2 linked regions of the Oryctolagus cuniculus genome follow. The protein of the gene in region 1 interacts with the protein of each later gene in a biochemical or structural test. Links are inferred from orthologs where the notes say so. Each region holds a gene or a part of one and is shown in the gene's direction. Other genes may lie near its edges. The genes, in order: TOM1 and TOLLIP.

Region 1 (12,171 bases):
CCACATAGTGGGAAAGTCCTTGTGTGTTTATACTAATGTGAATGCGAGGGCTGGCGCTGTGGTGTAGCAGGTGGGGCTGCTGCCTGCAGGCTGGCATCCCATGGGCGCCGGTTTAGGTCCCGGCTGCTCTGCTTCCAACCCAGCTCTCTGCTGTGGCCTGCGGCAGCAGTGGAAGATGGCCAAGTGCTTGGGCTCCTGTACCCATGTGGGAAAGCTGGAGGAGGCTCCTGGCTTTGTATCAGCCCGGCTCCAGCCGTTGGCGGCCATTTCAGAAGTGAACTAGCGGATGGAAGACCTCTATCTCTCTGCTGCCTCTGCCTCTCTGTAACTCTGCCTTTCAAATCAAAAAAAAAAAAAAATCTGGATGCGAAGGGTTGTGGAATTCTCAGAGCCGTTACACTTGAGCTCTGCCTGTCTCAGGTGTTCGTCACGGGTGAACGTTTGCACGTGGGACCTCGCAGCAGCCCCCTTCAGTAGGAATGGCACAGGCATTTTTCACTGTTGTGTTAAGGAAGGAGCAGTTAGTGACTTCCTCAAAGACAGGTAGGAAGCAAGATAGATTGGAACACAAAGGAGTGTATCATCTAAGTTTCCTTTTTGAACAGTGTAGAGTAGTCTAAGTAGAGACCCTCCGTTTGTGCTGGAACTTTCCGGATTAGAACTGCGCAGGAGTCACAGAACCAGGTAAGGCGGTCGACCAGAACAGAGCGAGCATTGGGTTCGAGTCAGCCTCCTCTCCTTCCAGGGCATGGTGGCTGTGTCTGGTAGCTTGTCAGTGCTTCTGGATTCCATCATCTGCGCGCTGGGCCCCTTGGCGTGTCTGACCACACAACTGCCTGAACTGAATGGCTGTCCCAAACAGGTCTTGGTGAGTTTTCCCTGTTTTCCTTGGATTTGAAGGGCAGACTCCTTGGCACAGGGTGCCTCCTTCCTCCGTCAGCCCCAGGGACCCGTGTCGATCCTGTTTTATTAAATGCATGCTGTTTCCCAAAGCAGTGCTTTGAAGAGAAGCAGTCTCGCCCTGGGGTCCTGCAACTCCTGCAGCTCCTGTTTGCTCTTCTACCAGAGACAGTGCAGGGATTTTCTGCTGTTTGTTACTGGGATTAATGAGAGAAGTCAGCAGAAAAGCTCCTAGCATAACAGACAACAGGATGCCATCTTCATTCGCATCTGTTTTCTCTAACTCCACCTCTTCCTTCTCATCTCCTTCCCCTGAACAAAGTACCGTGTCTCAGGAAACCAAGACCAACTGAACCGTTTTTCCTTGTTTTGCAGTCAAACACACTAGACAACATTGCTTACATCATGCCTGGACTGTGACAGCAAAGCATCCTGGGACAGAAACCTTGTCCTATCCCCTTGCTGGTTTGTGTATATATAACTGTTCCAGACCCCTCCGCTGGCCTCTGGGTGTAGGTTTTAAATTTTTATATATCTATACACACATATATATATAATGTACAATATATACATAGGACTGTAACTATGTTGCTTTTAATAATTTGATGAAATGACAAAGGTTTAGCCAAGAGGAAACTTTGGCTTGAATGTGGGCTTGGGATTCTTTTTTCTCCTATGGTGGACAAATCTGCCTTAAAAATCAGTGTAACCTGGGGGCTGGGGGCTTGTCTGGGTGCCAAGTGCATCTCTTTACGGACAGCTAAAATTTTCTTTCCAAGCTCAGCTACACCTCCAGACTCATCACTGACCATTTGCCTTACCTGTCTTACAGTTAGAAATGTGATAGAAAAGATTATGGGAGGAGGCCAATTGACTGAAAGTACAAAACCTTTCAACCTGAAGTGACCTAGGTGGGAGGTGACAAAACCATTCCCATTGTAGTTCTTAAGATGGCTTGGGTGAACTGAGTAGGGGTTCATTCCAGTTCCTACAATACAGGCGTCCATGTCTCCAATCTTATTGTAATCATTGGTACCATTGGTGGCCTCAGCAGAGGCCGCAGAGTGAATTTGAGCCCTGGCAGCAAAAACTACCTTAGAAAGGACAAAGCTGCTGGTGCCACCAGTTGAGCCTGCGCGTGCTCTGAGCTGACCCAGAGTGTCTGGTGTGCACAGCTGAGAGCTGGTGTGTCTCGTTGGCAGCAGTAGGTTGGCCACAAAGTCCTTGCAAGGTCTGCTCTGCCCAGTAGTTGTGGAAGGTAAACCTTGCCCGGCGTGATTCCTGGGCCCCTCTTACTCGTCCCGCTCTTGGGCAGATGCGGTCTGTTCTGCATTCCACATGGAAGTGAACTGCAAAAAAGTCTTCTCATGTGGGTTTATTTATATACGTGTGTGAATGTGTGTTTTAATTATGTGTATTTAACTCTTTAAAATCTCTTAGACCTTAATTTATCCTGTAAATTTCTGTGTTGTATATATAATTTAATAACAAAGCCTCCACCAGCAACAGCATGTGGAAGACACAAATTTATCTTTTCTCCCTTTCTTCCTCCCCCGATCTGTTCCAAAACTCCCAAGTCGTCTACATTTTAAGGTATTGTACCTCAAAAAGGAATCATTATGTGGGGATTCTGATTCTTTATGAAGAACTTCATGGCCTCCAATAATGTCAGGAAAGTGGAACAAAAAGGCCTGTGACCGTGCCCAGCTGCCCTGCCCTCCAAGACCAGGCTGGGGCTTCCTAGTGGCTGAGAGAGAGCTGAGCACTGCCTCCGAGACCCAGCGGGAGGTCACCGTGCTTCCCTCTGGCCTGGAGGGAGTTCCGCGGCGTCCAGGTGAACCTGCGGTGCGGTGCAGCCAGCCTGCCGCCTCCTCCCCACAGTGGTTCGCCAGGCTGTGCTTCTTGAGAGTGTTCTGTCTGCTGAATTCCTCTCTCGCCCACAGCACATTGTGAATCAATGCGGGAGGCAGAAAGAGAGACAGGGATGTTTAAGAACCAAAATCAAGGACAGAGTCAGCTGGAGCGCAGGTGTCAGGGCCGCAGTACCGGGTCAGGTTCCTGTTTGACACAAGGTGATGGGGCAAGGAGTGGGGCTGGAAGAAACCAGTCCTGCCGCTGTCCTTTGTGTGCGTTGATGAAATCCTGGGGAGGACCTGCTTTTTGTTTGTTTTCCTTTGAAACCCAGCCCTATTGTATTTGTATTTAAAATTTGTACACATTTGTATAATAATCTGTACCTTGTGGTATTTGGTACTACTAGAGGAAAATCTTTGGATTCAGACCTTCTTGCAGTTTTTATATCATTGTTTTATTTTGTTTTTTTAAATAAATTCTAGTGGTTTGATCCAAATCCCATTACGGTTGTATAAAGAAATAAGATTTTGTACTTATATTATTAAAAACCACATTTTTAATATTTGTAGTCCAGTCTCGACTATCTTTCCTAATCATGTTAATCATGTCTGCTACAAAGTTATAAAACCAGTTTTCACATTTCATGCTACTGTAATTTTCTTAAATAAATAAACCTAGAGCAGAGGTCAAGTTCCCAATCTCAGCCATTTTCCTAACACCTAACTCTGTTTTATATTGATTTTTTTAAAAATATGTATTTGCTTATTTGAAAGGCAGAGTTACAGAGAGAGAGGGAGAGACACAGAGATCTTCCATCTGCTGGTTCATTCCGCAGCTGGCCACAACAGCCAGGGCTGGGCCAGACCGAGGCCAGGGACCGGGAGCTTCCCGGGCCCAAGGACTTGGGCCATCTTCCTCTGCTTTCCCAGGTGCATCCAGGGAGCTGGGTCGGCAGTGGAGCAGCGGGGACTCCAGCCAGTGCCCACGGGGATGCTGGTGTTGCAGGCGGCAGCTCAGCCTGTTAGACCAACGCACCAGCCTCTCTGTATGGGTTTTCTGTTGTAGAAACTTTCATTATCTTTTGCAAACTGCAAATCCAGTGAATTTAGTATTTAATTCTATCAGCAAGTGAGACTGTACGTTGTGGTGTTAGCCTGAATAAAGATGACACTTGGGGCCGGCGCTGTGGCACAGCGGGTAAAGCCAACACCTGCAACACCAGCGTCCCATCTGGGCACCGGTTCAAGACGCGGTTGCTGTAATTCCAATCCAGCTCCCTGCTAATACACTCGGAAATCAACAGAGGATGGCCCAAGTGCTTGGCCCCCTGCACCTACGTGGAAGACTTGGAAGAAGCTCCTGGGTTTGGATCTGCCCAGCTCCAGCTGTTGTGGCCATTTGGAGAGAGAGCTGTGTGTCTGTCTCTCTGTAATTCTGCCTTTCAAATAAATAAACCAGTCCTCCCCCAAAATAAAACAAAGATGTGAGTGCTGTGTAAGGGTGGCACCTGAACGCTGTGGTCCATTCCACGCTATGCAGTACTGCCCTGGCTCAGTTAGCGATGCCGGACAAGCCATGTGAGCGGCCTGACAGGCTTCCGGAGTGCCCTCTGTAAAAGTGTCCGTGTCACTGCCCTGGCTCCAGGCCGCCAGCCAGCCAGCCTGACGTGCACGTTTCATCATATGGACCTGGGTTAGATGGAGATTTGACCGGTTTTCCAAGTTCAGATTTAAGCATCGCATCAGGATCAGTGGCCCAAGCGCCCAGGACAGCGTCGGGAATCCACAGACGGCGTCTGTAAGGTGCAGGTGGCGTCTCGCACGTGGTACACAGCCAGGGACACGAAAAGATACTGGATCACAAGGCTAGGCAAGGCCTTCGAGATTCCTAACTTGGAGGCCACCCTGTGCTACAGGGACCCCAGTAATAATGAGGTTACAAGCAAAACTGAACCCACTGCCTTTTTTTCTTCAGAAAGTCTTGTGGCTTTCATCAAATTCCCAGAGGAGCCTGTGACCTAAAAAAAAAAAAAAAAAAGTGCCAAGTCCTTGATCTAATTCCAGGACCCAGAGGAAATGCAGCTGGCTGTTTGGATCTCACAGATGAACGGCAGAGCTGGGTACCACGCGCCCTGCCCGCGACTGCATCTGTGAGCTCGCAGCCGTGCTGGGCGGTAGCCAGCCGACGCCCTGGACTCTCAGTCTCCAGGGGACACACACCCCTGCCCCTGGACTCCTCCTGGAGGTCCGCGGATTGGGGCTACAAGAGCAGGGACGCCTCGACATCAAACGGGAAGTCAGGGCAGGGAGGCAACAGGCACGCAGGGTGCGTGTGCGGTCGCCGCAAGGTCCCAGGGTCCACGGGCTAAGACGCCAGGAGCGACACTGAGCGCCTGACCTATGTAACCACACCCAGGTCCTGTCCCCGACGTGCAGACCTGCCGGCCACGCCCCCAAACCTTAATTGACAGCCGGGGGCGTGGCCTAAAGGCCCGGGCTTCCAAGCCCCGCCCCCGGCCCGCCGGAGAGCGAGGCGCCAGGCGGATCGGAGTCAGAGGCCACGAGGTCAGCGCCCTCCGCCGCGGGGCGTCGGCCTCTCGCGAGTCGGGGCGGGGCCTGAAGCCGAGCGCCGGCTCCCTTGGCCCCGCCCCCACGGCCCCGCCCCGCGGGCGGTCCGGCGCGTCACGTGACAGATTGGCGGCGCTGGCGGTTGCTGTCAGCTGATTCCGCGGGTTGGTAGCAGCGGCTGCCGCGGCGATGGACTTTCTCCTGGGGAACCCGTTCAGCTCTCCGGTGGGACAGCGCATCGGTGAGCTCATGGAGCCCCGCACGGCCCCGCCCCAGCGCGCCGCACCCGGCCTCGGTCCCCCGGGAGCCTTCAGGTCTCCAGTCACCGACTCCCGGAGGCTGGCGTGTCGCTCCCCCGAGCCGGCCCCGCCTACTCTCCCGCCCACCTCTGATTGACGGGAACGTGGGCCTTTAGGAGTCCTCGGCTTGTGATGGATGCTTACGGCAGCCAATAGATGACTAGGGAGGGCGGGTCCTGGCGGAGGTTCAGCCAATGTGCGGCTGCCGGGGTCCCGGGTCGAGGGAGAAAGTTTTCGGGGTTAAAGGGACTGCGTGGTGGTGCAGTGGTTGGGTCGCCGTCGATCTTCCCCGCGTTTCCCACCGCGTCTTCCTCGGCCAGGGTCCCCGCCGCCAGGCTTCTGGACCCGGACACCTGAGAAGGGCTAGACGTCCCTGCTCCCAGGACCGCGTAGACCCGGGCTTTGGCGTCTGGGGGCGACCTGCGGGAGGCGGTACCGGGCGCCCCACTCCCCCCGGGGCCCCGAGCGCTTGCAGGCCGGGGTCGTAGACCCAGCTCTCAGCGGTGTGTGCCGCGGCTCCTCTCACCGGCCAGCACCAGCTGGACCCGAGAGCCGAAGCGACCTCGGAAGCCACGCGTCGCGGCCAGGGCTTTGGGGCCGCCGAGCCCGGACTCCCGCTGCTTTACAGCCCTGGTGACCGGAGCCTTATCTATCGCGCTGTGACGCAGCGGCCGGCCCGAGGTCGCCTCGCCGGTAACGAGGGCACTGAGGCCTGTGTCCGTGGGCTCCAAGTTGAGATTCGCGAACCAGCACCCAGAACACGGCCTGGCGCAAGGCCTGCGCTGTATGACAGCAAGCCCCGCCAGGTGGGGGGCGCCGGGCAGCCGGCAGGGGCCGACCCCGGGGCTTGTCCGAGGAAGCCTCCAAGCGCTGTGAGAGGCTCTGCTGGTCCTTTTGATGGCTTTCAGCCTTCAGGCCGGAGTGGGGAAATTGGATCTTTTAGATAAGACATTGTTTTCCGTGCTCACTGTCTTGGAAGCCGGCTCCTGTCTCCTCCGCCCAGGCTGGAATGGCCATCGCAGCCCTTTGTGGCTCTCTAGTGGTTTGGTTTTGTTTATTTGTTTGTTTCTCTCCAAAGCAAGGGTTCTGGCAGTGTGGGGTGCACACGGGCCTGGGTGGGGGGCGTGGTCTCAGAGGCCCAGCGCCTGGCTTCCCGCAGCTCAGAGGGCCAGTACGCACGCCCCACCCCACCGTGAGTCATTGTTTTGGAGCTGAAAAGCTCAAGCAGCTCCGGTCTCACTCCTGGGCCCCTACCGGGGAGTGTCTGACCTGGGAGGGCACGGGTGGAACCCACCCCAGGGTCCCCAGGGTCTGCATTCGGGAGGCCACATCTTGGAAAACTCAGTTCTAGCCCAGCTCAGCTCCCTCCCTTCCCATGAGAGTAGCCCCCCCCCCCATGATAGCAGAGCTGAGACCCCCCACGAGCCGCTAGAATTTCACCCAAAACTGCAGAGGCTCTCCAGCCCAGTGAAATGGACACACACCACCGAGGTCACGCCCTCTGTGTTCTATGTGCCTCTTTTAGAAAGAGACGGGGTGCTGCTCATCAGCTGTGAGGATGGATGACCTGGTAGGATCTACTTGTGTTTCTGGAAGCCAGGCTCATCCTGCAAAGTGCAGGGCATCGACACCTCCTCCCTGAAGCCCTCCCGGATCCTGTCAGACCCGCCGTTGCTTTCTTGCTCTCCCAAGCGCCCAGCTCCCTGGGCCACTGGCTTCCTCCCCTGGAGAATGTTGTAGGCTGGTCCCCACAGAGTGCCTGGCACAGTGCTGTTGGCAGTAAACGTTCGCTCTTGCTGTCATCAGCCTCGTCACTTTTGTTTCCACCATCAGCACCCTGAGCCACTGCCGTGCCTGTGTGTCTCCCCGTGCCCACCGAACGGCACTTCCAGAGAGCGGGAGCTGCGCCGTGGGTATGGACGCTCAGTCCCTAGCGTGGGGCCTGGCGGGGGAGGAAGCTGGCGTTTCTGAGCCAGGGCCGGGCCCCCGACGCTGTGCTGACACCCGGGGTGTTGTCCGCAGGTTTTACTGTTTTCCCCGTTGCCCCGGAAGTCAGCCTGAGGCAGAGAGCACTGGGCACCCGGGGTCTCTCCACTGTTCAGGGTCTTCCCTTGGCGCCCTCAGCACGCTGCCCCGGGTGCCCAGTGCTCCTGTGGGGTGGGCAGCCCCCCACCCCTCCAAGATCACGGCTGGGGGCCACGCCCTCTGTGCCCCTGCTGTGGCCACAGCCCTGCTCTGCAGGAGTTCAGACCTTCGCCGGGTCTTCTCCAGGGCTGTGTTTAACGGACAGATGTCAGAAGTCAGCCATGTCTGGCGCTTTGAGTCCGAGCCCCAGCGGATGGGTGAACGTGAGCTGCAGACCACAGGGACAGCCCGTGTGGGCTGCCCGGCAGATGGAGGGTGGGGATGGTGGCTGGCTGTGCCCGGACAAGAGCTCAGCACCTCTTGACTGAACGCTGAGATGGAAGAGGCGGGGAGGAGAGGCAGGGACAGCCGTCCTCGGATCACGGGGGCCCAGCCAGGGGAGCCACAGAAAGGACTCCTGGGAGACCACCTCGGGCCCTGGGGGGCCGGCGTGGGAGCCATGGGCTGGAAGCTGACGTGGACCCTCACGCATGGTCGTGGCAGGGTCACCAGGCTGCTCCTGGGTCACACTGCCTCTCCCCCCATCTCCTATCCAAGACAGGGGGCGCCCCAGTCCCCCTGGGTGGGGAAGAAGGCCGCGATGGCCGGGAGGGATCCGACAGCAGGGAGGAGAGAGGTGACTGCACCAGGCTCCGGGAGCGCAGATGTGGCGGGAGGAAGAGCCGGGGCGGCTGAGGAAGACGCCGCCTGAGTAGTGAGCTCCCTGACAGCAGTGGGAAGGCAGCGGCCGGAGGGGGAGGCCATGAAGGGGACCCCCGCACTGGCCCGGATCAGACTCCTCGCACCCAGCTCTGCCCTGGTAGCGCAGAGCCGGGCGGATGGGTGTGGCTCTGCGCCCCCAGAGCTGCACTTAGGCGGGCCCTGAGATTTGAATTTCGCGTGATTTCCACATTTGACTTTTGTCCCAAGCCTCTGACAGCGTGAAGACCATCCCCAGGCCGCAGACCTCCAGAAACAGGCTGAATCGGGCACGTGGGCTCGTCGGGTGGGCGCTGCGGGGTCAGAGCGGGGCGGAGGCGGGGCGGAGGCCGTGTGCCTCAGAGAGGGGCCCAGGGCCCTGGGGAGCGAGTGCAGGAGCCAGATGGGTGCCCAGGTGTCCATCTCGAGGGTGAGGGGGTTGTGTGGACAGAGGGCTTCGCGTCGGCCGTGTGCCCAGCAGGAAGGCCCGGGGCCAGCGCGAGGAGGACCACGGGGTCCTCACCCACTTGGGCCCCAGGAGCAGGCAGCTCAACCTCTGGTCTCCAGGCGCCTCACCTGACAGAGGCTAATAGCAGCGCCCCCTCTGGTGGGTTGCGGGGCTGCTGCGGTGTGGGCGCCTGGCCCAGGGCCCGCCATGGGGGGGAAGGTGTCCTCTCGGGGCCACTGCATGAGCGGGTAGCGGCCGAGCTAAGGTGCCAGGCCAGGGCACTGAGTGCCGGGCAGCCTCTGTGTGAGTCTGTGTCCCTGGCGAGGGAGCAGTCACAGGTCAGGTTTCAGGCCGGGGGGAGCCCGGTGTCACTTGGGGATTAGGGCCTTTGGATCAGGATCCTGAATAGGTTTTGTTCCTTCAATGAGCTCAAAGAAATAAGAGTCAAGTCCCGGAATTCCAGTCTCTTGGTTTTAGGAAAAAAAAAAAATACAAAACCCCTCTGTTGTCTTCTCACTGGCTTGGGGCAGGAGTCAGGACAAGTTAACTCTTTCTGTCCTTGCCAGGGAGGTCCGATGGGGCGGGTGCTCTCGGAAGGCCTCCGTGGTGTGGGCGCCCGCCCCGCCCCCCTCCTGCCACCTTCGCCGCTGTCCCGTGGTGTTTGTATCCAGCCGGCTCACCTGCTGTAAGCTGGCCCACCGTGTATAACGCGAGCTGAGGAATCACGGCTTCCGTGGGCTGCTTCGGGCTTTGCTCCGGCTGCGCGTGAAGATACAGACGGAACTCTGCCTGTGAGTCAGTCCCCTAGCAGCTCCTGGTGGCCCATTTGGATCTCTTGGATGCAAGCAGCTTGGAACTTAGCCTGGGCGCGGGTTCAGGTGCCGGCTGCATCCCTCCTTGCTGGGTACCCCCCCTCTGGGGTCGGGGTGAAAGCCCTGAGGAGGGGCCTGGGCTCTGCTCCCATGGAGAGAGGAAGGGAAGGGCCAGCGGAGGGAGGAAGCAGCCAGACTGCGTGGCCTAGAGTCACGGAGAATTTAGACAGAGGCGCTCGCAGTTTGATTCGGGCTTGTTTGTGCGAGTGCAGGGTAAACCCTGCGGCGGTTAGCTGAGTGGCCGCTGGACTGGGCCGCAGTCCCCAAGTATTTGGTCAAGCAGCGTGCTGAATGTCTCTGATTTAAATCAGTCGACTCCAGCAAAGCAGTGTGGGTGGGCCTCACCCAAGCAGTTGAAGACCTGACTAGAAAAAGACCAGCCTCCCAAGAAGTCGCTGTCCTTGAACGGCTGGAGCCGTAGCCAGCCTGCCCTATGGGCTTTGTACTTGCCAGGCCTCTACAGTCTCCTGAGCCAATCCTTAAAATAAACCTCCATCGCATGCTCGCTCGCTCTCGCTCTCGCTCTTTTCTTTTGGTCCTGTTTCTCTGGGGAACTCTGACTGAGAGAAGTCCCTCTCCCTCGCCGCTGCTAGCTTGTCAGTAATATCTTTCATACTCACAAGTGGGAGGACATCGTGGTAGGGGCAGGCATTTGGCACAGTGGCTAAGTTGCTGCTTGGGACACCTGCGTCCCCTATCAGAGCGCCTGGCTTCCAATCCCGGCTCCCCCGACTCCAGCTTTCTGCTAATGCACCCTGGGAGGCGGCTGGGAGACCCGGGTGTTTTCCAGGCTTCTGGCTTTGGGCCAGCCCAGCCCCAGCTGTTGGAGCATTTGCGGGGTGAACTGGTAGATGGAAGAGCTCTCGCTCGCTCGCTCGCTCGCTCTCTCTCTCTCTCTCTCTCTGCCTTTCACATAAATACAAATTATTTGAAAAATGCCATCTACACCTCTGACTTCAGAGCCCTGCTGCCTCTCACTGGGCGGGGCGGGGCGGGGCGGGGCAGCCCTCCCGCACCCCACTCACGGGGTCTTCAGCGAGGGGCCAGAGTTTCCTCCATCACTTTCAAGTCGTGGGTTGCAGAAGTAATGCCCTCCCTAAGGTATTTTAGGGCTGCGCTTGTGGCCTGTGGTTAAAAATGACAGGGGAGAGCAGCCAGGGCTTTAAGGAAGGGCGGCTCCGCTGCTTGGGAAGCTGCTGGCACTTCCCATGCCAGGGCTGGGAAGAGTTGTGCACTCGGCAAACAGGCGTCAAGACAAGCCGCTGGCTGCCGCTTCCGGTGTAGAGCCTAACGATTGTTCCAAGTTTCTAGCTATTTATTTTGAGACTCAAAGAAAGAGACAGAAACTGACAGGTTGAGAGAGAGTTCCTGTCTGCTGGTTCCCTCTCCCGTACTCAGACTGGCCAGGGCAGGGCTGGGCTGAAGCAGAAGCCAGGAGGCTGGGAGCCCTACCCAGGTCTCTCGCGTAGGCGGCAGGCGCCTCCCCGGGTGCAGCTGGCAAGGAGCTAGTCCGAGGAGGGAAGCCGGGACCGGAACCCAGGCCCTGCCATGTGGTCGTGCCTATCTTAGCTGACATCTTAACCACTGGAATTTCTGAGCAGGCCTTTCATGGTTGATATTTTTGTGGAGGATGACGTTAGTTCTGTCCCGGGTGGCTACCACGTGCTTGAAGACACGCGCTCTTGTCTCCTCACACAGCCCTGGCCCGCGAGAGCGCAATGGTCCCCATTCTGTAGAGGAGGAACTGGAGCACAGAGAGGCCAAGGAGCTTGCCCAGCGTCACACAGCTGCGGGGTACTTGGGGCAGGGGCAGGCCTCGAGCTGGGTGCATAGCCGAGTGTTCGTATCCCACACTCCTAACTCACCCCCCGCTGCCCATCAGAATTGAAGGGATCTTCACTGTCTGTCCAGAGTGAGCTTGTGGGGGGTGGCTTTTTCCATAGTCCTGCCTCCCGCCCCCATGGATATCAGCTTCGTCCTGATGCTCTGCCCGTGTCCCTGTGAGCAGGAGCTGCCCTGCACACCTCCTCCTGGGTCTCCGGGGCCAGGAGCAACTCCCAGGGCCTGGTGGGGACTGGAGGAGCCAGTGGCGAGGGCCTCTCCTAGTGGCAAGCTGTCGGAGGGGGCTCCCTGCAGCGGAACAGAGCAGAAGCCTGTGCAAACTCCCGTGTATCCAGAGAGACGCAGCGTGCGTGAGGGCAGCTATGCACAGTGAGGGGCGTCCCACGCTGCATCTCCAGGTGGCTCAGCTGGCCTGTGGCCCCAGGGGAGGTCCGAGCAGCCGAGGCCCTCGTGGACAGGTCGAAGGTGCTGAGGTCGCTGGGCGGGGACAGGGAGGCAGATCCCGGAGGGACACGGCGCTCTGTAAAAATGTCCCGGGACTGTCCGCTGGGAGAAAGAAAGCTGTC
Region 2 (11,549 bases), on another chromosome or scaffold:
GACAGCTGGCCACGTGGCACCATCTCAGGAGAGCCAGCTGCGGAGTTCCTAGGAGCTTGTGTAGGCCGGAGCTGCCGAGAGCACTCAGACGATGACAGCGGGGTGCAAGCCGGCTGTGCAGCCGTGGTCCGGGAGCCTGTAGCCAGGGCTGGGGAGCCACTTCTTTCTGCCAAACCACACAAGATCAGTTTTGTTTTTTTTTTTTTTTTGGACAGGCAGAGTGGACAGTGAGAGAGAGAGAGACAGAGAGAAAGGTCTTCCTTTGCTGTTGGTTCACCCTCCAATGGCCGCCGCGCTGCGGCCGGTGTACCGCGCTGGTCCAATGGCAGGAGCCAGGTACTTATCCTGGTCTCCCATGGGGTGCAGGGCCCAAGCACCTGGGCCATCCTCCACTGCAGTCCCTGGCCACAGCAGAGAGCTGGCCTGGAAGAGGGGCAACCGGGACAGAATCCAGCGCCCCGACCGGGACTAGAACCCGGTGTACCGGCACCGCAGGCGGAGGATTAGCCTAGTGAGCCGCGGCCCCGGCCAAGATCAGTTTAAAGGCTGGTCTGCTGTAGGTGGGCTGAATCTGGAGTTCAGCCTGCAGTGTCCTTGGCGAGGCCAGAGCCAAAGAAGGCACCGGCCTTGACAGCCTGTGGGTCACACGCTGCCCACCTCTGCTGGAACTGCTCAGTGCTCTGGGAGCCGGCGTCTCCTCCTGTGTCTGTTAGGTCTGCAACTCGGCCTGGGCTGTGCTCCCCAGGCCTGAGCTGGGACACCAGGCGAAGAGACAGACTCTCAGGGGCTCCTGAAGTGACACCCAGTGCCCTGGGGGAGGCGTGCTTTCTGGTAGTGCTTTTTTTTTTTTTTAAAAGATTGATTTATTTATTTGAAAGAGTTACACAGAGAGAGGAGAGGCAGAGAGAGAGAGAGAGAGAGAGAGAGAGGTCTTCTATCTGATGGTTCTGCTGCAACGGCTGGAGCTGCACCGATCCGAAGCCAGGAGTCAGGTCTCCCACGCGGGTGCAGGGGCCCAAGGACTTGGGTCATCCTCTACTGCTTTCCCAGTTACATTAGCAGAGAGCTGATCGGAAGAGGAGCAGCTGGGACTCGAACCAGTGCCCATATGGGATGCCGGTGCTTCAGGCCAGGGCGTTAATCCGCTGTGCCACAGTGCTGGGCCCAGCTGGTAGTGTTCTGAGCACACAATATGGAGCCCACCAGACTGAAGAACCTTCTGGAACCCTGCCTGGAGTCTTGGGGAGACCATGGTCCAGGCAGGCTCAGGGTCTGGTCTGTGGGGCAGAGGCAGTGGGGTTCTGCAGAGCCCCTGGGTGTACCGCATGCTCCTGGCCTCCGTCTGGCCGTGACACACGCCACTTACTTCCCGGCAGGCCCCTCGGCTCTGGGGCTCACGGGTCAGCAGCAGCCAGTGCCCTGAGCACAGCCCCTCCCTCCATGGTAGTTTCTTGGCCCAGAGGCCGTGACCTGTGTCACGGAGGGGCGGTCTTCCCACTGTTCACCGCGCCCGCCTGCTGAAGCCCATGCAGGCTCCTCAGGCAGTGTGGCCATCTTGAGGACCCCAACGGACCCCTGCCCTCAGCCCTCCTGCCGGGGACCCCAGACACTTGGGTCGTTTCTGGCCGCCATTGCTTTGCCGCGAGTCCCTGCAGTGTGGCCCCGGCGGCTCCTGCACCATCTCCTTTGCTTCTCTCCTGTGTGAACCGCTCCTGGGGTCACTTGCAGGCGTCCCTGCTAATCCTCGCTAAAGTCTACTCCTGAGTGTTTGGGGTCCTTCGAGTTTCTCTGGAATTCATTCCCTGGGGTGTCTTTCTCCTGCCCCAGTAGCTCCTCTGTGTCCCGCCCTCTCCCTGCTCATGGTGGGGGTGCTGGGCGGGGCCCACCTAGCCGCAGGACCCCTGAGAAGGAGGTCAGATGTCCACAGGGCTTTGTCTGGGTCTGTTTACTTCTTGTCTTCTCCTGGGACAGTTCTGCATCTGGACTGTCTCAGGTGTAGGCGTGGCTGCGCGCCAGCGCACGGGGCTCGCAGATGACCTTGGCCAAAGATCAGATCTCCTCTCGCTCCTGTCTGACCGTGCCGCGCGTTCACTGACCTTGGCTTCAGTGTGGACACGCGGAAGGGAAGCGTGTGGGCGGCAGCCTGCCAGGCCTGCCTGGGGGAGCGGAGCCTGTGTTCAGTGGCAGAGGCGGCAGAAGCTCTCCGGGCGGAGGGACGACGGCCCTTTGCTGATGGTCAGGGTGCAGGCGCTGGAAGGGCTGAGCACCGTGTGGGGCTTGGAGAGGAAATGGGTGGGGGTGGGGGCGCAGACTGGGCCCTGGGTGGAGCCCAGAGGCTGCAGTTTGCACCGGGCTCCCGGCATCTGACGCCGTCTCCCGCCCTCGCCCCGGCAGGTGTACATCGGGGAGCTCCCGCAGGACTTCCTCCGCATCACGCCCACGCAGCAGCAGCAGCAGATCCAGCTGGACGCCCAGGCCGCGCAGCAGCTGCAGTACGGAGGGGCGGTGGGCACCGTGGGCCGCCTCAGCGTCACCGTGGTGCAGGTGGGCACTGGCGGTGGGGGGGATTCCTGCTGGACAAAGGGCACCTTGCATCTGGGTGTGCCGACACTCACATATGATGCTGAGTGACGACCGATTCCGGGATTCTGCCAAAAATAACTCGAGAGTTGGGTGATAACGGTTGCTGGACGTCGGCCCTGTGCCAGACCCTGTTCTTCCACGGGGCAGCCGGGGGTGGGGGGCTCAGAGCAGCCCAGTGCTCCCTCGGCCAGCTGAGACAGCAGTGTCGTCACTGTTGTGTCCAGCGGTATCGCCGTTGCCGCCGAGCTAAGTCCTATTAAAACGAAGGCAGCTTGGCAGTCGGCGCACAGTGGGGCGTTTAAATGCCCTGCTTACAAGGCGTGCAGGCTGCCGGAGCTGCGGAGGCCAAGGGCCACTGTGTGCTGGGGGCACCGTGAAGACTGGTCACCTCAGTCCCTGACCTGCGCAGGCCCACGGGCTGCAGGTGGACTGCAACACTGAACGTGGCTCGCTCACACCAAGCGCCCTGTGAAGCCGAGCAGACGTGCAGGGCCTCGCGGGTGCAGGGGGCTTAGGGGGCCATCATCAGGGGACTCCCGCGTGCTGGCCTGGAACTTGCTGCTCACTGGAGCCCTGGGCTGCCACCTCCTGGTGGGGTGCTGCAACTGCAGGTGCTCGGGTCCGAGTGCCTGGCCGGGCTCGCAGGGGCCTCCGCGGTGCCCGCTCCCTCGAGCTCACCACAGGCTGCCTGTGTGCTATGGCGGTGCCAGGCCCTGGTTCCTGAAGAGGCCTCCTGGTCGCTTCCCCAGCGTTTCCCTTCCTTTTTGGGAACCCTTCTTCTGTCCAGGCGGCTACACGTCTCCTGGCTGCCTCCCCTGGAGGTCTCCGAGCCCCACGGCTGCCCTGAGAGCAGGTCAAGTCTGTGCCCTTCTCGTGCCCCAGGGCCTGTGAGCGTGTGCAGACCTGGCCCCTGGCGCCACCCCGTGCGGCTGGGACTCCTGCAGAGCACGGCACTCACGCCCTCCCTGGTGTCTGGTCAGCCTTTCAGACGCATGCAGCCAGGTGGCCGTGTGTCGTCTCCTCCTCGCCACCCTGTCTCAGCACAGGCCGCAGCCCGGGCCCCTTCATCTGCCCCCAACCCCATGCCCTGTCTCAGCACAGGCCGCAGCCCGGGCCCCTTCATCTGCCCCCAACCCGTGCCCTGTCTCAGCACAGGCCGCAGCCCAGGCCCCTTCATCTGCCCCCAACCCCATGCCCTGTCTGAGCCCCCCATGCCCACTCTGAGCCCCCCATGCCCACTCTGAGCCCCCGTGCCGTGTCTCAGTGCAGGCCGCAGCTCCGCTGCCTCTGTGCTCAGCTGCTAGAACAAGGCTGGGGCTGGTTGCTCCCCGCATGTTCTTCGCACGCGCCGGCAGGGAGACTCCGCAGGGCTGGGGGAAGTCAGCTGCGGTAGATGTCTGTCACTGGCCCTGGAGGGTGGAGTCATGTGGACCAGAAGCAGGTGTAGGGGAGCAGGTGGACAGGTTAGGGAGGCCAGGGCTGGCAGCGCGGGGCTGAGAGCAGACTCCCAGGTAGGACTGGGCAGGCGTGGCTGTGGGGGCTGGGTGAGGATGGCCTCCGTCCTGACCACGGCAGGCCGGGCTCGCTCACCCTGTGACGTCCTGGAAGGCCCTTCTGTGAGCAGGCCCGAGTGGAAGGGTGCGGGGAGGCCGTGGGGTCCGTGCAGGGCAGAGGCCTCTGCTGGAGTCTGAGGAAGGCGGGCAGCTGGACAGGGCGGTGCCGGCAGCGGGGTCTCTGCCTGCAGGCACCACCGCGTGTCCCTGAGTCCTGACGCGTCACAGGCCCCTCCCTGTGCTGAGGACGGAGGACTCTGCCCGCCCTTCAGAGTCCCTGCGTCAGCAGCTGGCGCCCTGGGCCTGCCGGGCCCTGGTGGGTGCCGTGGGTGGCCTGGTCTTTGTGGAGTTTCAAGGAGGCATCACAGCTGCGCGGGGCTGTCTGAATGTCGGCTGCCTTCCTCGGCCTGGGGCCTGGGGCCTGCCGTGGGAGCCGCCCCCCAGCTTCCAGTGACGGTGCCGCTGTGCTTTACCACGGGGTGCTGAGCCGGCCGGGGCTGGGGCTGGGCTCCGGCTGGATTGGGGGAGCTGTCTGTCTGGTGTGTGGTCTCACTGGAGTGTGGTTTGCACTTCCCTGATGGGGGTGCTCAGCATCTTTGCCTGTTGGTGACCGATATTTCCTCCAGTCTTGGCCTGTTTTCGCTGGGTGCTCTCCCCGTTACTGAGACCTGAGCGTCCTTCGATGTCCTGGCTGCCAGCCCTGCATCACGGGAGACTTTGCAAAGCACTTCTCCCGTCTGTGGTCCCTTCGTGTCCTGCGCGGCCGCTCTGAGCAGCCTCTGAGTTCCGGTGGGAGTGTGGTTTGTCAGGGTCCTCGCCGTGGTCTCTGCTTTTGCTGCCTGTCCTGACCAAGGTCACAGTGTTTTCTCGTGGAGGTTTCTGCCCAGACCTCTGTAGCCGCTTCACCAGCAGTCTTAGCTGCCGGAGCCGCGCGTCTCGCTGGTGCAGTCACCAGCCCAGCGCCGTCGCGCATCTGGGCCCAGCCAGCCTCCTCCTGCCCGACAGCAGGGCCTGCGCTCTGGGAGGTGTGCTCGCGTGCTTCAGCCCCTGCCCCTGCGGCCCACCCCCCGGGGAGGGGAGAGGCTGGGGGCTGCCGTCTCTGAAGCGCTCCGGAGCAGGTGTCCTGAGGCCCGGCCTGTGGCCCCTGGAGCCTGTCGCTCTGCACCGTGTCAGCGGTGCCCCCAGCCAGCGGGGGGAGGCCGAGCAGCCCTCCTCGGAGGCTCTGCCTCCTGGCTCTGGTGCCCTGGAGGATGAGGTCCGGCTGTGTCCGGGTGAGTCAGAATGGCTGTAACCCGCACCCCTGGGGCAGGCCGGTGGGAGGGTTCCAGAAGGCACAGTTTGGGTGAGCGTCCGGCTTCTGCCCTGACGCTCGGGGCCTCGTTTTTCTGAACTTGATTTCAGGCAAAGCTGGCGAAGAATTACGGCATGACCCGCATGGACCCGTACTGCCGGCTGCGCCTGGGCTATGCCGTGTATGAGACACCCACGGCCCACAACGGTGCCAAGAACCCACGCTGGAACAAGGTCATCCAGTGCACGGTGCCCCCGGGGGTGGACTCTTTCTACCTGGAGATCTTCGACGAGGTGAGCGGGATGCCCGGCTGTGCCGGGGGCAACACTGTGCCGTGCGGGCGCCTCGGCCGCGTGCTGTCGACAGGCGCGCACACCTGCACGCTGTCCCACTGCCTCTGGAAAAGAAGCACCCTTCTCAGCTCCTTGACAGCGTTTGGAAACAGTCACCAGTGAGACACACTGGACACTGGGCAGAGTGGACCTGTCCCGTCCCTGGGCTCAGCGAGGTAGCTGGCCGTGTGGGCGAGCTGCACCTCTAGGGAGTCACACGCGTGGCCAGGAGCGCCTCCTGAGTGTCCCTGAGCCGTGTCTATGCACGTGTGCCTCAGGTGGGATGTGGGGGGCCCTGGTGGAGCCGGGCTCAAGGACAGCAGAGGGGAGGGCGTGTGCAGCTGGCTCTGCCTCTTGCCCCTGCCCGACCCCCTGGCTTTCCCTCCAGTGGCCCCTGGGAAGACAGGGAGCATGTGGGGAGCCTGGCAGGCTGTGGGGACGTCACAGCAGCGTCCCCTCCCGGGACATCAGGGCTCGTGGGTGGCAGCCAGGGGAACAGGGCCAGCTGGAGGGCAGAGGAGGGGCAGCAGGCGTCGCTGGGCTAGGGCAGATGGACTGCAGCCCAGAGGGAGTCTGTCCCCGTCCTCAAGCCTGGCCCTGCCCCCTCTTCCTGTCCTGGGAGGGGAGCCCAGGACCGTTTGCCGGTGGTCCTGAGGCGTGCTGCTGGGGAGGCGGCGGGCTGACAGCCGTGTTTCTGGGACACGAGGCCTGTGGGCCCCCGGGAGCTGACCTCCCTCCTGTCGTCCTCAGCGAGCCTTCTCCATGGACGACCGCATCGCCTGGACGCACATCACCATCCCCGAGTCCCTGAAGCAGGGCAAGGTGGAGGACGAGTGGTACAGCCTGAGCGGGCGGCAGGGCGACGATAAGGAGGGCATGATCAACCTGGTCATGTCCTACACGGTGAGGCTGGGTCACGGGGTCACGTCCTGCACAGGGAGGCCGGGTCACGGGGTCACGTCCTGCACGGGGAGGGAGGGGTCACGGGGTCACGTCCTGCACGGGGAGGCCCGGGTCACGGGGTCACGTCTTACATGGTGAGGCCCGGGTCAGCAGGGTCATGTCCTGCACGGGGAGGGAGGGGTCACGGGGTCACGTCCTGCACAGGGAGGGAGGGGTCACGGGGTCACGTCCTGCACGGGGAGGGAGGGGTCACGGGGTCACGTCCTGCACGGGAAGGCCCGGGTCACGGGGTCACGTCTTACATGGTGAGGCCCGGGTCACAGGGTCACGTCCTGCACGGGGAGGGAGGGGTCACAGGGTCACGTCCTGCACGGGGAGGCCGGGTCACGGGGTCACGTCCTGCACGGGGAGGGAGGGGTCATGGGGTCACGTCCTGCACGGTGAGGCCGGGTCACGGGGTCACGTCCTGCACGGGGAGGGAGGGGTCACGGGGTCACGTCTTACATGGTGAGGCCCGGGTCAGCAGGGTCACATCCTGCACGGGGAGGGAGGGGTCACGGGGTCACATCCTGCACGGTGAGGCCCGGGTCACGGGGTCATGTCTTACATGGTGAGGCCCGGGTCACGGGGTCATGTCCTGCACCGGGAGGGAGGGGTCACGGGGTCACGTCCTGCACGGGGAGGGAGGGGTCACGGGGTCACGTCTTACATGGTGAGGCCCGGGTCAGCAGGGTCACATCCTGCACGGGGAGGGAGGGGTCACGGGGTCACATCCTGCACGGTGAGGCCCGGGTCACGGGGTCACATCTTACATGGTGAGGCCCGGGTCATGGGGTCACGTCCTGCACGGTGAGGCCCGGGTCACGGGGTCACGTCCTGCGTAGGGCTGGAGTCTGCTCGGGGTGGCCTGCTCACACTCTCGGACCCTCTGGGTGGTGCCGAGGCCAGGGGGCGGGATCCCTGCGGTGGCTCCAGGGCAGCCGTTATTCCTGAGGACAAAGACCAGAGGCCAGCAGAGCGCAGCAGCAGGGGAGGACGCAGGCCCTGGGCTGGCTGTGGGCGCTGCCCCTCCCTGCCCCTGCAGCCTGGACAGGCAGCGCCCTGTGTCGATCCTGGGCAGGCAGCGTGTCTTGTCTCGGGCCCTGCTGTTGGTGTCAGGGTCCCCCAGGGCCTGAGACGCGGGCAGAGGGATGGATGGTCCTGGGGCTGCCGCGTGGTCAGGTCTGCTTTTCCCATCAGGCAGTGACGGGCGGTGAAGTGAGGAGGCCGCCCTGGCTGTGCTGGGCGGGGCCCGGTGCCTTGGGCCCCCCCGCCCCGTTCTTTTTTTTTTTTTTTTTTTTTTGACAGAGTGGACAGTGAGAGAGAGAGAGACAGAGAGAAAGGTCTTCCTTTGCCGTTGGTTCACCCTCCAATGGCCACCGCGCTGATCCGATGCCAGGAGCCAGGTGCTTCTCCTGGTCTCCCATGGGGTGCAGGGCCCAAGCACTTGGGCCATCCTCCACTGCACTCCCGGGCCACAGCAGAGAGCTGGCCTGGAAGAGGGGCAACCGGGACAGAATCCGGCGCCCCGACCGGGACTAGAACCCGGTGTGCCGGCGCCGCAGGCGGAGGATTAGCCTAGTGAGCCGCGGCGCCGGCCTCCCCCCGCCCCGTTCTTGAGGTAGCTGCGGCTGCTGGGCTCCTCGGGTCCTGGGTCCTGCCACCTCCTTGTAGCACTCAGGGCTTTTTTTTTTTTTTTTTTTTTTTTTTTGTTCAAAGATTGATTTGAAAGGCAGAGTTATGAGTTATGGAGAGGAAGAGAGGGGTCCTCTGTCTGCTGGCCCAACCCTGACTGGCTGTGACGTTTGAGCTGTGGGTACAGGGTCCTGAACCAGGCCCCTGGCTGTGACGTTTGAGCTGTGGGTACAGGGTCCTGAACCAGGCCCCTGGCTGTGACGTTTGAGCTGTGGGTACAGCGTCCTGAACCAGGCCCCTGGCAGGCAGCATTCATGTGTGCTGCCGTGGCCATGTGGCCGTGTGGGAGGGGCCCTCGGGGAACCTGCTGCCTGGTCCCCAGGGCTCTGCCCCCAGCCCTCCCCTCCTCTGGGTGTGTTTGTCACTCTTGCTGTAAACCACAGCCGTGAGAGTGATGGTGTCTGAGTCCCAGGGACCCCAGCACAGTGGTGTCCTCACGTCCCCATCTACTGCAGAAAAGGCAGCAGCGACGCGCGTGTGTGTGTGGACACCTGCTGCGGCAGCCATGTGTGTGTGTGCGTGTGTGTAGACACCTGCCGCGACAGCGACGTGTGTGTGTGTGCGTGTAGACACCTGCCACAACAGCGACGTTTGTGTGTGCGTGTGTAGACACCTGCCATGGCAGCGACGTGTGTGCGTGTGTGTGTGTGTGTGTGTGTAGACACCTGCCATGGCAGCGACGTGTGTGCGCGTGTGTGTGTGTGTATGTGCATGTGGACATCTGCCGTGGCAGTGCGTGGCAGGTGCGCGGCAGCTGGTGGGGCAGTCCCTCCCTTCCTCTCCTCGTGGGAGACCCGTCTACGGCTCCCGGAGCCTCTCCCGATACAGCCTTGGCTTCTCCTCTGGGAGGACCAGGCGGCCCGCGAGTCTGCGTTGTCTCCTGGGGAGTGGTGTGGGCGGCTTCTCGGCGTGCTTGGTGCTGGACCTGCTGTCCTGCGTGGAGACTTCGTCCCCTCCGGAGGCGCCGCACTCTTAGACTCCTGTGCTGATTCAGCGCCGCTTCTGTGTCTGAGCCTGCGGCGGGCGCGTCCAGAGCTGGGCCTCCCAGCGCTGACCCCGTCCTTGCCCCGCTGCCTGGGGGCTCCCTCGCAGGGGCCTCCCGCCAGGCCCCGGGCGAGCGTCTGTCCGTGCCTTCCTTCTCCCCTTCTCCTCCCCAGCCAGGGGCTCCTGGAAGTCGGGTCAGACCTGCCGTGTGCTGAGCGCAGCTAGCACGCTGGGACCTCAGGGTCACCGCCCTGCCCAAGGGTGAAAACTCAAAATAGACCTCAGGAGACTAAACCGGCGCCCTCTCGGGCGTCCAGACAGCTCATTAGTGGAACGTGATCCGTCTCCACGCCAGGCTCGCTGGCGTGCACAGTGAGGGCGCTGGCAGGTAGTCCTCGCTGGGTGTCTTTGTTTCCAATGGTGTTGCTGGCTGGGGCTTGTTCCTGTCACACGTGAGAAGTCGTGATCAATAAGCTCAATGAAGTGTGGAGTTTGGGCTGAGCCAGACCGCAGCCGAGACCCAGGAGCTCCGCCTGCGTCTCCCACAGGAGTGGCAGGAGCCCGAGCGCGTGAACCGTGAGCCGTCGTCTGCTGCCTCCCCGGTTCTGCACTGGGAAGCCGGAGTCGGAGCTGGAGTGCAGCAGGCTTCTCACTCAGGCCTCCCCGTGGCGAACGCCACGGCGCTACAGACGAGCCACAGACGCCAGCGTCACGGACACGGCGCTACAGCAGTGCTGGTGTCGGGGCTTGCGCGTCCGTGGTCCATACGCACGCAGGGCGGTGCCGCAGTTAGCCGAGGGACCTCCCGCGCTTCAGCTGTGCTCACTAAAGCCTGCGCCTCTGCTGGGGCGCTGTGGGTGTCGTGGCTTCTGAAATCCACACTCCTGTGTTTCTGGTCTCGCTCTGGGCACACCCCGGCAGCTCAGCCCCGCAGCAGTGCCAGTGCGGCCACCCTGGCGGGATTTGGTGCTGTGAGCTCGGCCTTGCCAGGACCATGCGCTGGGATGGAGGCTGGGAGCGTGCCGTGGGTCTCCCTGACAGCCGCTCGGCTTTGGTGTTCCAGGCTCTGCCAGCTGCCATGGTGATGCCGCCGCAGCCCGTGGTCCTGATGCCGACCGTGTACCAGCAGGGAGTCGGCTACGTGCCCATTGCAGGTGAGTGACCCCTTCTCTGGGGCTGGGCGGAGCAGGCACGGGGCAGGGAGTCCTCGGGGGAGAGCCCTCCAGAGGTGCTGTGGTGCCCGGAGGAGTCTCGTGCCTGTGAAGATGCTGTGGTTTATTTTACCCCGCAGATACGGTGAGGTGTGGAGACGCAGTTTGTACGGGAGCCAGTGAGGGAGCGGCTGCTGTGGGGGAGGCCATCCCCTGTGTGCGCAGCGCCTGGGGCAGCACAGCCGACGTTTCTGTTCCCCTCGGTGAATTCCACTTGTGGCTGTGACGGCGACTGTTGCCTGACCCAGCCTCCCGCCATAACAGGCCCCGGAGCTGGGCGAGTGGACAAGGCCACAGCTGTGTCCAGCAGGCAGGGAGGCTGCGGTCCAAGCAGAGGGAGGAAGGTGGCCAGAACCCCGGGGTAGGGCCACCGGGGCTGTGGGGGAGGCTCCTGGGTCCGTGTGGCCTCGGCACTGAGTGCTCAGAGCACTGCCCAAGGGCAGCGGCAGGACAGGCCCTGGGGCGGCAGCCAGGGCACACCAGCACCCCACTGTGACACTGCAAGGCCCTGCGGGAGCCGGGACCCCGTCCGGGGGCAGTAGAGCTGCCCCGGGCCCTGGGGACTCTGGAGCATGCTGGGTAGGAAGCCCAGGTCATGGGAGTGGCCTGAGATGGCCCAGACACGAGGACAGCTGGACGGAGGGGGAGGTGGAGAGGAGGGAGTCTCGGTAGGGAAACTCAACTCCCCGGACCTGGTGGGAGTTCTTCACAGGGTGCGGTGACCGGAGCTGGGCCCACAGCCCCGAGGGGCTGACTCTACCTGTCAAAAAAAAAAAAAAATGAAGACCACCGAGAGTAGTTTTCTTTTTTTAAATTTGTTTGACAGGCAGAGTTAGAGAGACAGAGAGAAAGGTCTTCCTTCCGTTGGTTCACCCCCCAAATGGCCGCTAAGGCCGACACTGCACCGATCCAATGGCAGGAGCCAGGTGCTTCTCCTGGTCTCCCATGGGGTGCAGGG

The links.
Region 2: the proteins of TOM1 (region 1) and TOLLIP form a complex in vitro, tested with the Homo sapiens proteins (3 studies listed by BioGRID and IntAct, with this or other methods). The link is inferred for Oryctolagus cuniculus from reciprocal best matches to the Homo sapiens genes TOM1 and TOLLIP.

Annotation. Positions count from the first base shown.
Region 1 is NC_091442.1:112,890,943-112,903,113, forward strand, and holds the start of TOM1 (target of Myb1 membrane trafficking protein), read left to right. Parts: upstream 1-5,403; 5' UTR 5,404-5,510; coding exon 5,511-5,562; intron 5,563-12,171. Other genes in the region: HMGXB4 (HMG domain-containing protein 4), read left to right, coding at 746-868, 997-1,107.
Region 2 is NC_091432.1:2,059,985-2,071,533, forward strand, and holds part of TOLLIP (toll-interacting protein), read left to right. Parts: exon of another isoform or gene 1-1,375; intron 1,376-2,394; coding exon 2,395-2,544; intron 2,545-5,537; coding exon 5,538-5,720; intron 5,721-6,509; coding exon 6,510-6,662; intron 6,663-10,443; coding exon 10,444-10,534; intron 10,535-11,549. UniProt on the Homo sapiens protein: Component of the signaling pathway of IL-1 and Toll-like receptors. Inhibits cell activation by microbial products. Recruits IRAK1 to the IL-1 receptor complex. Inhibits IRAK1 phosphorylation and kinase activity.